Drosophila melanogaster: one gene and its partners. Changing the gene in region 1 together with any one later gene gives a genetic interaction. Each region holds a gene or a part of one and is shown on either strand. Other genes may lie near its edges. The genes, in order: prd1, Cul1 and Nrg.

What was found.
Region 2: of prd1 (region 1) and Cul1, changing one enhances a phenotype caused by changing the other (phenotypic enhancement), as found in Drosophila melanogaster (one study listed by BioGRID).
Region 3: of prd1 (region 1) and Nrg, changing one suppresses a phenotype caused by changing the other (phenotypic suppression), as found in Drosophila melanogaster (one study listed by BioGRID).

What each region holds. Positions count from the first base shown.
Region 1 is NT_033777.3:11,785,041-11,788,794, forward strand, and holds the start of prd1 (pruning defect 1), read right to left. Parts: upstream 1,975-3,754; 5' UTR 1,583-1,974; intron 1,389-1,582; 5' UTR 1,329-1,388; coding exon 443-1,328; intron 374-442; coding exon 1-373. Other genes in the region: HisCl1 (Histamine-gated chloride channel subunit 1), read left to right, coding at 2,542-2,654, 2,725-2,908, 2,982-3,291, 3,406-3,540, 3,602-3,754.
Region 2 is NT_033778.4:7,915,364-7,919,117, reverse strand, and holds the start of Cul1 (cullin 1), read right to left. Parts: upstream 2,165-3,754; 5' UTR 2,010-2,164; intron 1,941-2,009; exon of another isoform or gene 1,784-1,940; intron 1,387-1,783; 5' UTR 1,155-1,386; coding exon 279-1,154; intron 218-278; coding exon 1-217. Other genes in the region: CG12159 (uncharacterized protein), read left to right, coding at 2,766-3,217, 3,597-3,753. UniProt on the Drosophila melanogaster protein: Core component of multiple SCF (SKP1-CUL1-F-box protein) E3 ubiquitin-protein ligase complexes which mediate the ubiquitination of proteins involved in cell cycle progression, signal transduction and transcription.
Region 3 is NC_004354.4:8,515,614-8,519,367, reverse strand, and holds the start of Nrg (neuroglian), read right to left. Parts: upstream 1,881-3,754; 5' UTR 1,859-1,880; exon of another isoform or gene 970-1,858; intron 1-969. Other genes in the region: CG33181 (uncharacterized protein), read right to left, coding at 3,442-3,645. UniProt on the Drosophila melanogaster protein: Essential for septate junctions. Septate junctions, which are the equivalent of vertebrate tight junctions, are characterized by regular arrays of transverse structures that span the intermembrane space and form a physical barrier to diffusion.

The DNA of each region.
Region 1 (3,754 bases):
CTAAGAGGCGGTGACTCGGCCGCCGGCCGCGATTTGTGCTCTGGTGTCTGTTCCAGCTCAGGGACGCATTCCACCACCGCCTGCAGGTCTTCGGAGCCCTCGGGAACTCCGCGCTCCGGCAATGGCATGGTAAAGATGCTCTTTAGCGATCCAAATATCATCTTGCTACTGTTGTCGAGCAGTTGGTGCTTAATGTCGTGCACGTTAAACTTTTTTACCCGCCCATTGAGATCCTGCTCGAGTATGACATTTGTATGTAGCTTAGTTTTCTTTAAGCAGCTTGATTTCGGCTTCTTCTCCTTATTCCATACGGACTTGACTTTGGGACTGTCAGCATCTCCGATATTGGGCTCTGAATAGTAGCAATTGTCACCTAATTGTGGGATAAAGATTAATGTGGATATACATCACAAGGATTTAAGCAGAATGTTATATAGCTTACCGATTAGATTGTTGTTAGCATTGCTCATACCAATGCAATCACATGAGCTGCTCTTAGCCTGCTCGTACTGCTTACAATTCGCATTGGAATTTTTGTCTTGTTCGTCGGAATCCAAACTGGAGTTGGAACTGCTGCACACGCACTTGTAAAGTTGGGGTTGCTCTTCCTGTTTTTGGGTCGCAGGGCCGTACTCAAAGACACCTGAGGTGTCATAGTGCAGACCGGGCGCCTCGTCCGTGTCAAAAATGTTGTCGTAGTCCAGCACATCCGAGCAGGCATTTCGGTAGACCAGATGTCTCTTTCGCCTGGCACCTCCGCCACCGGTAGCCTCCTCGCCATCGTCTTCCCTGCCAGCGGCACTGAGTTCATTAGGTCCCTCCGGACGTTCCCGATCCGGACACCAGGAATATCGTCCTGGAGCGCCGGCCACGCCCGCTGAGTTAGCGAAGGCCAACTTGCGTCCGTTCTTGTAGGTGATAAAGCCATGCTCAATGTGAATGTTGTCGGTACGAGTGTTCTTCAGTATGTCCTCGTGGAAGGACACTCGCTTTTTGGGAGTTTTGGAGGCGGACGAAGCTTTGTGCACTTTGCGACGGTATACAATCTTCTCCGTGGTGTCGAACGTAGAGCACTCGCTAATGGTCATAGACTCATCCGGCGCTGCAGTCACATTGGAGTTGGGATCCACCAAAGGGAGGGGCATCGGTCTAACGTTTTCCTCGTAGGAGCAAATGGACTCCACCATCACATCGCTGTTTTCCGAGTCCAGGAGTTGTACTCCCGAATCGCTGGGCGTGGTGTCCTCCATGGTGCTGCTGTTCAAGCTGGAGCTCATCTTGTCCATGCCCAAATTGTTGTTGGCCTTGGGCAACAGAGGTGATTCCATGGTCGTTTCGATTTTCGCACTTGTCAAGAGTTATCTACGCAGTGATTTTCGTCTATTAACCTACGGAAAATTGTAAAAGTCGGTAAACCATTATTTGTGTATCTCGGCGTTCTTGCTATTAATCAATATCCACAAGTTGCACAATGCGCCGCAGCAAATCGCGCCAGTGCACAAAGGAAAATGACCCCTGACCCAGCACCCCCTTGAAAATCGCACCGGGATTAAATTCACACACCGCTGCTTCTGTCACTCACCTGCGATTGTATCGCAGGATTCCATGTTACTGTCGATCTGGGTGGTTTACGTTTCCTTTTACGCTTGCTTTAAGAGTTTTATGTGCAGATTTATCGCCACTTGTACATTTTAGAATTGCCAAAAAAAAACGTCTTGGCAAGTGAAACAATCAATATTTTGACCTCATAGAGTTGCCAGTTCCGCGAACAGCTGATTGCGCGCCAGAGCTGCCAGATAAGAGAAGAGGTTGGCAACGCGGCCTGTTACAGCAACGGGAAGTTCCGGTTTTCAAATAATATTTTTGTAAATTTTAAAATTCAACAATTATTTAACACATTATGTAAAATGTTCCTGAAGAGTTAATTCAATTTTAAGACAAGTTTGTATTCGGCTTTTATTTAAAATATTGTAGAGCACGTATTTGCATTTCAAGAAAATTGGGATTTAAAGTTAAGAGCAAACCCAGAACAGTTTGTGAAAACGTACTTCGAAAGCAAATGCCGGAACATGCCGATAAACCCATTTTTGACATCGACAGTTGGCGCCCAGTTCGCTTGTTTCGCGCAGTCAAACGGTTTTTCATATTTCACAGATATTATTCGCAAATACAGAGTGGACATTTAAATTAATGCCCTTGTCAGTGGGTGCGAACATCATTTCCTCTTTGCCATTTCGCTAACCGGGGTCAGTTGTCAATTTGAAAAGTAGTGTAGTGTGGGCGAATGCCAATGAAAGCGAATGAAACCTTAGAAATCAATTTATCACACTTTGCAGCACATCACAATCGTCGCGATAACTCTGCCGTTTCTTTATTGGTTTTTGCTGCGCGACGAGTAAAATATAATTCCTCGCTTACTAATCCTCCGAGCAAGTTCATTCTCAAGCGCACCCAGAGATGAGCTACTTTGGGAATTGACATGGACTGCGGAGCAATGAGTGCCAGAGGAACAATATCAAAGCCGAAGGTAGTGTGTTCATAATGCAAAGCCCAACTAGCAAATTGGTAGAATTCAGGTGCCTGATTGCGTTGGCAATATATTTGCACGCGCTGGAGCAATCGATCCAGCACTGCCATTGTGTTCATGGTTACAGGTGAGTCCGAGTGCGTTTGCCCAGTTTCATCAGATTTACGCCACAGGGCTGTTCTGTTCCACATATGCAGAAATAACACGGAGAGCGCCGAGCTGGTCTCCCACTACGAGTCGAGTCTTTCGCTCCCGGACATTTTGCCCATTCCCTCAAAGACGTACGACAAGAACCGGGCTCCCAAGCTCCTCGGCCAGCCCACAGTAGTCTACTTCCATGTCACGGTCCTCTCCCTGGACTCCATTAACGAGGAGTCTATGGTCAGTAGAATGTGTTCATCTTTTCAATACTCATCACTCAGCAAACACTAATTGGCTTATCATGCTCCTTTAGACCTATGTGACGGACATCTTCCTTGCACAAAGCTGGCGTGATCCTCGCCTGCGGTTGCCTGAGAACATGAGTGAGCAGTATCGCATATTGGATGTCGACTGGTTGCACAGCATTTGGCGGCCCGATTGCTTCTTTAAGAACGCCAAAAAGGTCACCTTCCATGAGATGAGCATTCCCAATCACTATCTCTGGCTGTACCACGACAAAACGCTGCTCTATATGTCCAAACTCACGTTGGTCCTGTCGTGCGCCATGAAGTTTGAGTCCTATCCGCATGACACGCAAATCTGCTCCATGATGATCGAGAGTTGTAGGTGGAAATGTAATGGTTATCTACACCCTGCAAATCCCGTATCGCTTGGAACTTTCCATTCCGCTTCTCGAATTACAAATAATCTGTGTTGAACCGAGTTTTGATTGGCAGTATCCCATACGGTGGAAGATTTGGTTTTCATTTGGAACATGACCGACCCACTTGTGGTTAACACGGAGATTGAGTTGCCGCAGCTAGACATATCAAATAACTACACAACCGACTGTACTATAGAGTACTCAACAGGTAAGACTAAACTATTAAAAGCCATTTTTTTCAATATAATTTATATTTATTTTATCTCTAGGTAACTTCACCTGCCTGGCCATTGTGTTCAACCTGCGCCGACGCCTGGGTTACCATTTGTTCCACACCTACATCCCCTCGGCTCTGATTGTGGTCATGTCTTGGATATCGTTTTGGATAAAACCAGAAGCGATACCCGCCCGTGTAACTCTGG
Region 2 (3,754 bases), on another chromosome or scaffold:
TCTTGGGATCGTTGGCCGCGTCGGTAGTGCAACACTTGGCAATGGCCTCCGTGCCCTGGTGGAGTATATGGTTCTCAAGGATGGACTTGAGATCTGTCAGGTTTTTGGACGAGAGGGCGACCAAGGAGTACATCCGTTTCAGATCATCGTTTCGGTCTGCGTTGAGCAGATTCTGAAACTCGGTGTGAAAGATTTTCAGATGTTTTTCGATAAGAACCTGAAAGACATTGATTCGGTTAGTAGGCGGCTTTAAAGTTGGACACGGTAGGCAATCCCACCTCTTCGCATGTGGACTTCAGCACATCCGCTGTGGTCTCGTGCAGATAGGAAAGACCGTTCTTTGAATTAAAGCCGCGGACGCGCTGCGTCTCCTCCTCCAGCCTGTTTTCGACGTGCTTCAGATACTCGGTGACCGTGTTGGTGGACAGAAAGGCGTCCGACTCCTTCTCGTAGAAGGCTGATGTGTCTGCGATGAACTTGTTTTCAAAGTTTTGCTTGTAGACGGATAACTTCTGCTGCTCGGCATCGGTATCCTCCTCGTTAAAGCTGAGCTCCACGTAGCACTCGATAACGTCGCGGACCAGCGACCGGTTAATGAGCTTGCCTTGACGCTCCTCCTCAATGGACTTGAGCACTGCCTTGGTGACCGGCTCATTTAGCACTTGGAACAAATGTCCCTTCCAGGCGACGAGGGCCAGTCGGTAGATCTTGTAGATACCCTTCTGCCCCTCCTCGCACTCGCGCTTCACCCAGTTCCGATTCAGGTAGTTGCAGATGCCGTCCAGAACGGTACTGGAGAACTGATACGACTTCCACTGTTTGGTGTAGCGCGACAGGAGTACCTCCTCGCCGCTGATGGCCTTGAACTTGGTGAGCAGCTCGCTCAGGTATGACTTGAGAAATTGTTCCAGCCGGTCGTACAGCTTCTTGCCCACCAGCTGCGCTCCGCCTGTCTTTCCGCTGCTCCGTCCGCTTGGAGCCGCGCTCACGCTGGTGCAGTAGTCATAGACGTGAGTGTAGAAACGCATGTACTGGCTGCGGGTGAGGGACTTCTCGTGCTCAAACACCTGCATAATGCCCTCGACCAATTCGCTCCAGATATCGTCCAGGTTGACGAGTTTCTGTGTGGTCTGGGAATTGCCGGAGCGGTTCATTCTGGCGGCGGTGGGTTGTGGCAACGGCCTTCTGCCTTCTTCCACTGGAGGATGCTGTCCCTGCAGTGGCGCTGGGCTGGAGAAGGCAATGACCCTAGGTGGCGAATGCTGCGCGGGCGACAGGGGATTGCTGCTGCTTTCCAGGTGGCGTCGTTTCGCGGCTCTCGTCCTTGGAGTTGTGGCCGGAATCTTGGCGAATCGGTGTTCCAATTTTGGAATTTAAAGTGTCAATCTGCAGATGAGAGAATCGGTACAAAAACGGAATGGGATTGGGAATGTAGTAGGCCTCGCCACGTTAAAAGCGACGACCCGAAGGTCGCCTATTATGATCCAATGTCACAGCAATAAAAGAGAGGCTTGCGGAATACACACACACACACACATGCACGCACAAGCTGTAATGCAATGCGCGGTGGTCGGACATGCCCTGCAATGTAGGGTATTGGCCAATCGCATGGCAGGTGAAGCCCCACCACCGCCCCCGCTATCGTTAGATCGTGTTCGAAAACCCAACTTCCTGGTTAAATAAACACTCGCATGCACACATATGCAGTCGCCCTCGCCTTCACACACACACCCGCACCCACACAAAGGCACATAAAGCCAAGAGAAAAGATAGCGGACATAACCATTTCACAACTAAATTGTTAACATTTTTTTCGATTTTTCACATAGCTCCCTCCAAACGAAATTTATTTTCCTGGTAAATTGAGCCGTGCGACTGAGTTTTCTTTTCGTGACGTCGTGATGGATTTGATTTCCCCTTGGAGCACACACACTTTTTCTCTTTTGTTCGCCATTTTCAAAGCACGAAATCCCGTCTCTTTGCATTTCCCTCATTTTGCTTTATATTACCTGTTGCCAGACGCTGCTAAAATTAAAACTAAAACTAAATTAAAATTGTGTTTCACTGCTTTGCTTATAATTAAATTAATTTTTTTTTTCTGTGAAAATTGCTAACTTTCGTTTATTCCTAACTATTAAAATGTGTGACCGTTCGGCCATTGCGCTGCAAGGCCCTCGACGGTGGTATCGCTTAAGACCAGCTATCGTTGGCGATCTATTTATTGGGCGCCACTATTGGTGGCGATCTCATTTTTCAGGGAATTCTTTACACGGAAAGCAGTTATATTATAGTTTATAATATCAAATATCGCTGTTAGGCTCTTCAAAGCGTGATGTAAAATATCGGCAACGCGGTTCGTATCTTAGATTTTACAAATCCGTTAGCGGTTACAGAAACCTTCTTATAGATGTCATTTTCCTGGGCACACTTCCTGGAACTTGAGAACAATCTATACTTTATATAAAACGATTGGTCTTAGCACTTGCATAATAAAACCCTTTTCAAATAATTAGGGTATGCTTATATAGTCTTATACAGGTTCACCCTAATGCCCGTACGAAACACAACTCCTCCAGGACTCAAACCAATGTGACCGTGTATAGAAGGCATACGCATTTACTTCAATTTCGATTCGTTTGCTTTGACATGTGCGGCAACTCTGACGCCAAGCAAAACAAAAACAGTGCAGCAAAGAAATTTAAAAGGTCATTGTTTATGCTTAGAAGCGGCTATATTTAGTAATTTTGATAGTTGGATACGAAAAGATGTCCTGTCGCTGCTTCTGCTTAGTGGCTGCAGCACTGCTGCTGCTGTTCTTCCACCAGCAATCCTGTGACGCAGCCACCCAGACGCCCCAAAAGACGGTGGTAATTGCGGAGCAGAGTGCGCCGGCTGCTGAGGTGGAGGCCAAAAAGCCAGTCGTGAAGAAATCGCAAGCAGAGAATCCTCCGGCAGGACCAAAGGATTCTATGGTGGTCGTAGACGATGGCGGACCTGCTCCGGTTGCTCCAGGTGCTTCGGTTGCCACACAAGTTTCACCAGGAGATGCCAAGGCACCGGAAATGGTGCAGCCTCCGGGAGGTCTTCCCGTGGATGATGTTCATGTTGAACGCTCTCCCATGTCCCCCGATGTGGACTTTCCGGGCCAGGCTGTTGTCTACATCCTCGTGGGAATCACCAGTACTGCAATACTGCTGCTTATTATGAGGGTTTATAGGTGAGTTAATGAAGGACATATCCTAGAGCTCTAGACTAGAGTCCAGAAAAGCATGAAAGGTTATTTCAAAGTCTTCCTTATTATTTTGTAATGCAAAGGTAAAACAGCAAAGAATAGATTTTTAAGGATTTCAAAAGTTTACAGCGATCCTTTATCGTGCCTTGAAATTAAAATTTCCAGTAAATATTGTTAGAATACTAATTTAAAACTAAGCGTAATGTTTAAATATGTAGCTTTAAATATTCTTATCGGTGGACTATATGCAAAACAGACTACCTATATATACTGAATTTTACTTTATACATACATACCTACATTATTAAGTTATTATACTAGCAATTTTTGGTGATAAGACTAATCGAATCGCAAATCATTGCAGGCTCCGACTTTCCCGGGCGGAGCGCAAGTACGGCGTGCAGGGCGACCGCGCCAACCAGGAGCTGACACCACTGCCCATGGCCATCGAGGACGTGAATAGTGACGAAGAGGACCACACCCTGTTCGAGGTCAATCGCCAGAACATACGCATATTATGAA
Region 3 (3,754 bases), on another chromosome or scaffold:
AATATGTTGTAAGCATGTGAAGTAATATCTTCATCACTTATTGTATCTTGTATCTTTAGCCGGACATCCCCACACCAAAAGGCCAACAAGGGCATTTATTAACTAGCTAATTTTTAATGCTGCTTCAGTTGACGCAGTTTCAGTTTCTGTTATTTCTTTATTTATTTATTATTATTTTTCTTGATACGTTTTTGGGTCGATTCGGGGCGGAGGCATTGCTGTCGACGGCGTTGCTGGGGCGGAACGAACTGCCATATACATATGCATATATGTACATACATATATATAAACCTATTCACAACGATGACGTCGTCGCGATGACCGCATGGTCAAAAGCAAAAACCACAAAAAATAGCGGAGAGAAGTACAAAATGTATATATTTACCTAACTAAACTCAATTCAGTTTGCAATTGAGAATCATTGAAAAAAATTGAAAATCAGTTGTTTCAGATATTGCTAAATTTAAAGAATTTTAAAGTAAATGAATTAAATGGCTTAGACGAAAATAAAACTGAAAACGCTAAAAGATTGTTTGTTTTTTGTATCTTCTAAATTGTAAATGGAAAACCCGTTATCTCTGTACTTGAGGTATGAAATCGAAAGAATTTAGAGAGAAATCGCTAGGAACGTGGAAAGTACATGTGAAAATGCGAGAAGAGCGCCAAAGTGGCGACGAACGAGGGAGAGGGCAAAAAACGTAAAAAGAGCTCAAAAAGTGATCTCTTGAAGCTGCCCCACCTTACACACACACACACACACACACACCAAAACAAGAACACCGACACACGCACACACACATGCCGTAATTCGCGCTCATTGTCTGCGCTCTTCTTCTTCGTCACCATCTTCGCTAGCTGCTAGAAAACCTGTTTTAGAGCCACCAATAAAAATGAAAAGAAAAAAACAGTGTGTGTGGAGTTAAGATTACGCCCTTGGACGAAAACTTGGTTCAAATCCATAATGCTTACCTTTAAGTCATAGAAGCCAGCAGCAGCAACAACAACTAGATGACGGGATTCTGCCAAAAAGCGCTCAAGAATCCAAAACTCAAAACTCAGGTAAGAGAGAGAGAGGAAGGCGGGAGAGGGCGACGCGCCAAAGCGTGAGAGACGGAGCGAGTGAGAAGGAGCCACTCAATAACTCGCTTACGAAGTTTTGGCTTCGTGGTAAATACATATGTACATACAAAAACAACTAGAATACAACAAAAAAATAGGAAAAATAAAAAAAACACAGAGCTTTAAATGTTGAGGTTTTGAGCGCTCTTGTACAGTTAATGGCGCCCATTGTTGCTGTTGTTGTTGCCTTTGCGTGGCTTTTGGCGTCCTCCGATTTGCTCTCCTTCTCCTTTTTTGTTGTCATCGTGTGCTTCGTACAATATTGCATTGCCATTCATTTTTAATCAATTGCATTAATGAAAACCATCAACTATTTAACTTTTTGGGTGCGGCACAGTGTGCAAAGTAAAAAAACAACAAAAAATGAAGGTGGAAGTAACGCAAGGAGACAAACAATTTTGTTTTGGGTTTTTTTTTCTTCCTTTCGTTTGGCAACCAATTTTTCTTATTTTTTTAAAACAATTCCCAGACAAGCACACCCGCACACTCACACACACGAACGCACACTAAAAAAAAAAAGCGAAGGCAGAGCTAAAACCAATTTATATATTGGCGGAGTAAATAAGACAATTTTCTACGCGGCGTCAGTTCGTTTTTTTTCCTCTTTTTTTTACTATTTTATTTTCAATTCCCGGCGCTCACTAACACTAACACCGACGCATATACACACACACTGGGACAGTTATGTTATACACGCGGAATTTTTAGGAAAAAATAAATAAAGTTAGTGCTTAAACACCCAAATAACGATATATATTCGCTCGGCTGCGAATATGTATCGCGGTGTTTTCGGCGTAGTTTTCAGTAAATACGATTTGGCGGACATACACAACCAGCAGCGCGGATATTTTCTTTTCGAATGCGGAGAGGAACTGCCAGCCTCGCGAACGGTAACAATCGGACGCACGGAATGCGGGGTGGCATCACCGACAAACTGGTTTACGGTTATCGATATTTATCTAAGATATACCAACTATCGATTGATTACCAGGGATGCGATATACTTTTAAATAACCTACGCTCTTATCGATATTTGTAACTCTTTAGAGACTCTTATCGATAGTGTGTTCAATGCTACCCATAACATGAATGATATATCGATTGATGAACTGGGCGCCAAAATATTCAAATTCAAATGGTTTTACGTTTTAATTACAATTCTGAGCAACGCTAAACAGAAACATAATTAATTATAAAGATATTGAAACTATTTGGATTTCTTTCGTTTATTCCAACATATTTATTTAATTGGTATTATTGTTTCAAGTATTACACAATATTGATGCCTTTTCTCTTACGTTTTCAATTAATTTATTATTATTATTATTATTATTGTTATAACTAAATATCGATCACATTTCCTTTCAGAACGTCTCTCATTCTCATCATTTTAATCCCTGTTCACTTTTTGATGCGGAGCAGAACGCACAAACTCCTGCATACACACTTCCTTTCCATCGTCCTAACTAATTTGCAATCATATATATCGCAATTCGCGGTTTAATTATTGCTTCTCCTATTTCTTTTTATCGCTCGCGCTCTGCGGGGGGGAAATGGAAAGGGGGATGGAAGGGGACAATGAGAAAAGTAATATTAAAAAAAAAAACAAAATCGAAAGCGAGACTTGCAAAAATCAAATCTGCGCTAATACTACATAATTGGTTAAGTGTAAATTAAGGATTTAAGTAGGCTCTATTTACGTCTACGTTTTGCAATTATTATTTGGCTGTTTAAGGTAATCAAGAGCGAAAGAATCAAGAACCAAAGTGGGAGAAAACAATTTGCGTGGCGTAAATGTTCTTTTAGTAATTCTTCGTCGTCTTTTTCTCCCTATACAATGTATATACTTTTCTTTAAATGTGTATAATATTGTCCTAAAAGCCTTAAAAAATATGACGCAGCGGCCTGCAATTCTACATATGCCTATATATAGCCTGTATATATACCATAATCGCACATAATTTCTCGGTAGAGCAAAAGGAACACAAGCAAAAGCCATGTGAAGAAGGACACAATGTAAAATGATATCATATCTCTTAATATCTCTCGCCTCGAGCATTCGACATGCATCATTAAAAGTTAGTTCGTTTTATAGCGGTTTCCGTTTCCGTTTCCGTTTGGTGTTGGGAGGTTTTTTTTTTTTGTCTTGGATTTAAGATTTTTGGGTGGCTGGAGGAGGCTGGCTATACGTACAATTTCTATGTTTTCTGTATATTTGTTTTAGGTACATAACAGTTCTTTATATTGTATGGTGTGTGTGTATGTGTGGCTGCCTTGTTTATCGTTCTACGTTACTCCGTACTCCCTATTTCGTTAGCTACATTAGTTAGGTGCGTTTAGTGTCTCCATTCCGGATCCGTACTGCATGCCCACCGACATGGTGAAGAGCCACGCCACCGCCAGCAGACTGCTGCCGAGCAGATCGCCCAAGGCCGTCAGGTAGGGTATGGCCGAGTTATCCGGATCGATCTTCCACTTCCACATCGCGTGCACAATGATGTGGGCAATATACAGCAGCAGCATCACCTGAAACGATCGCAGCACATTAGCGTTGTGTTTTCGGAGGGTTTATAATGACATATGTATGTATGTATGTACATACATCAGCAAACGGCCTTAGCATATTCAAAACTCA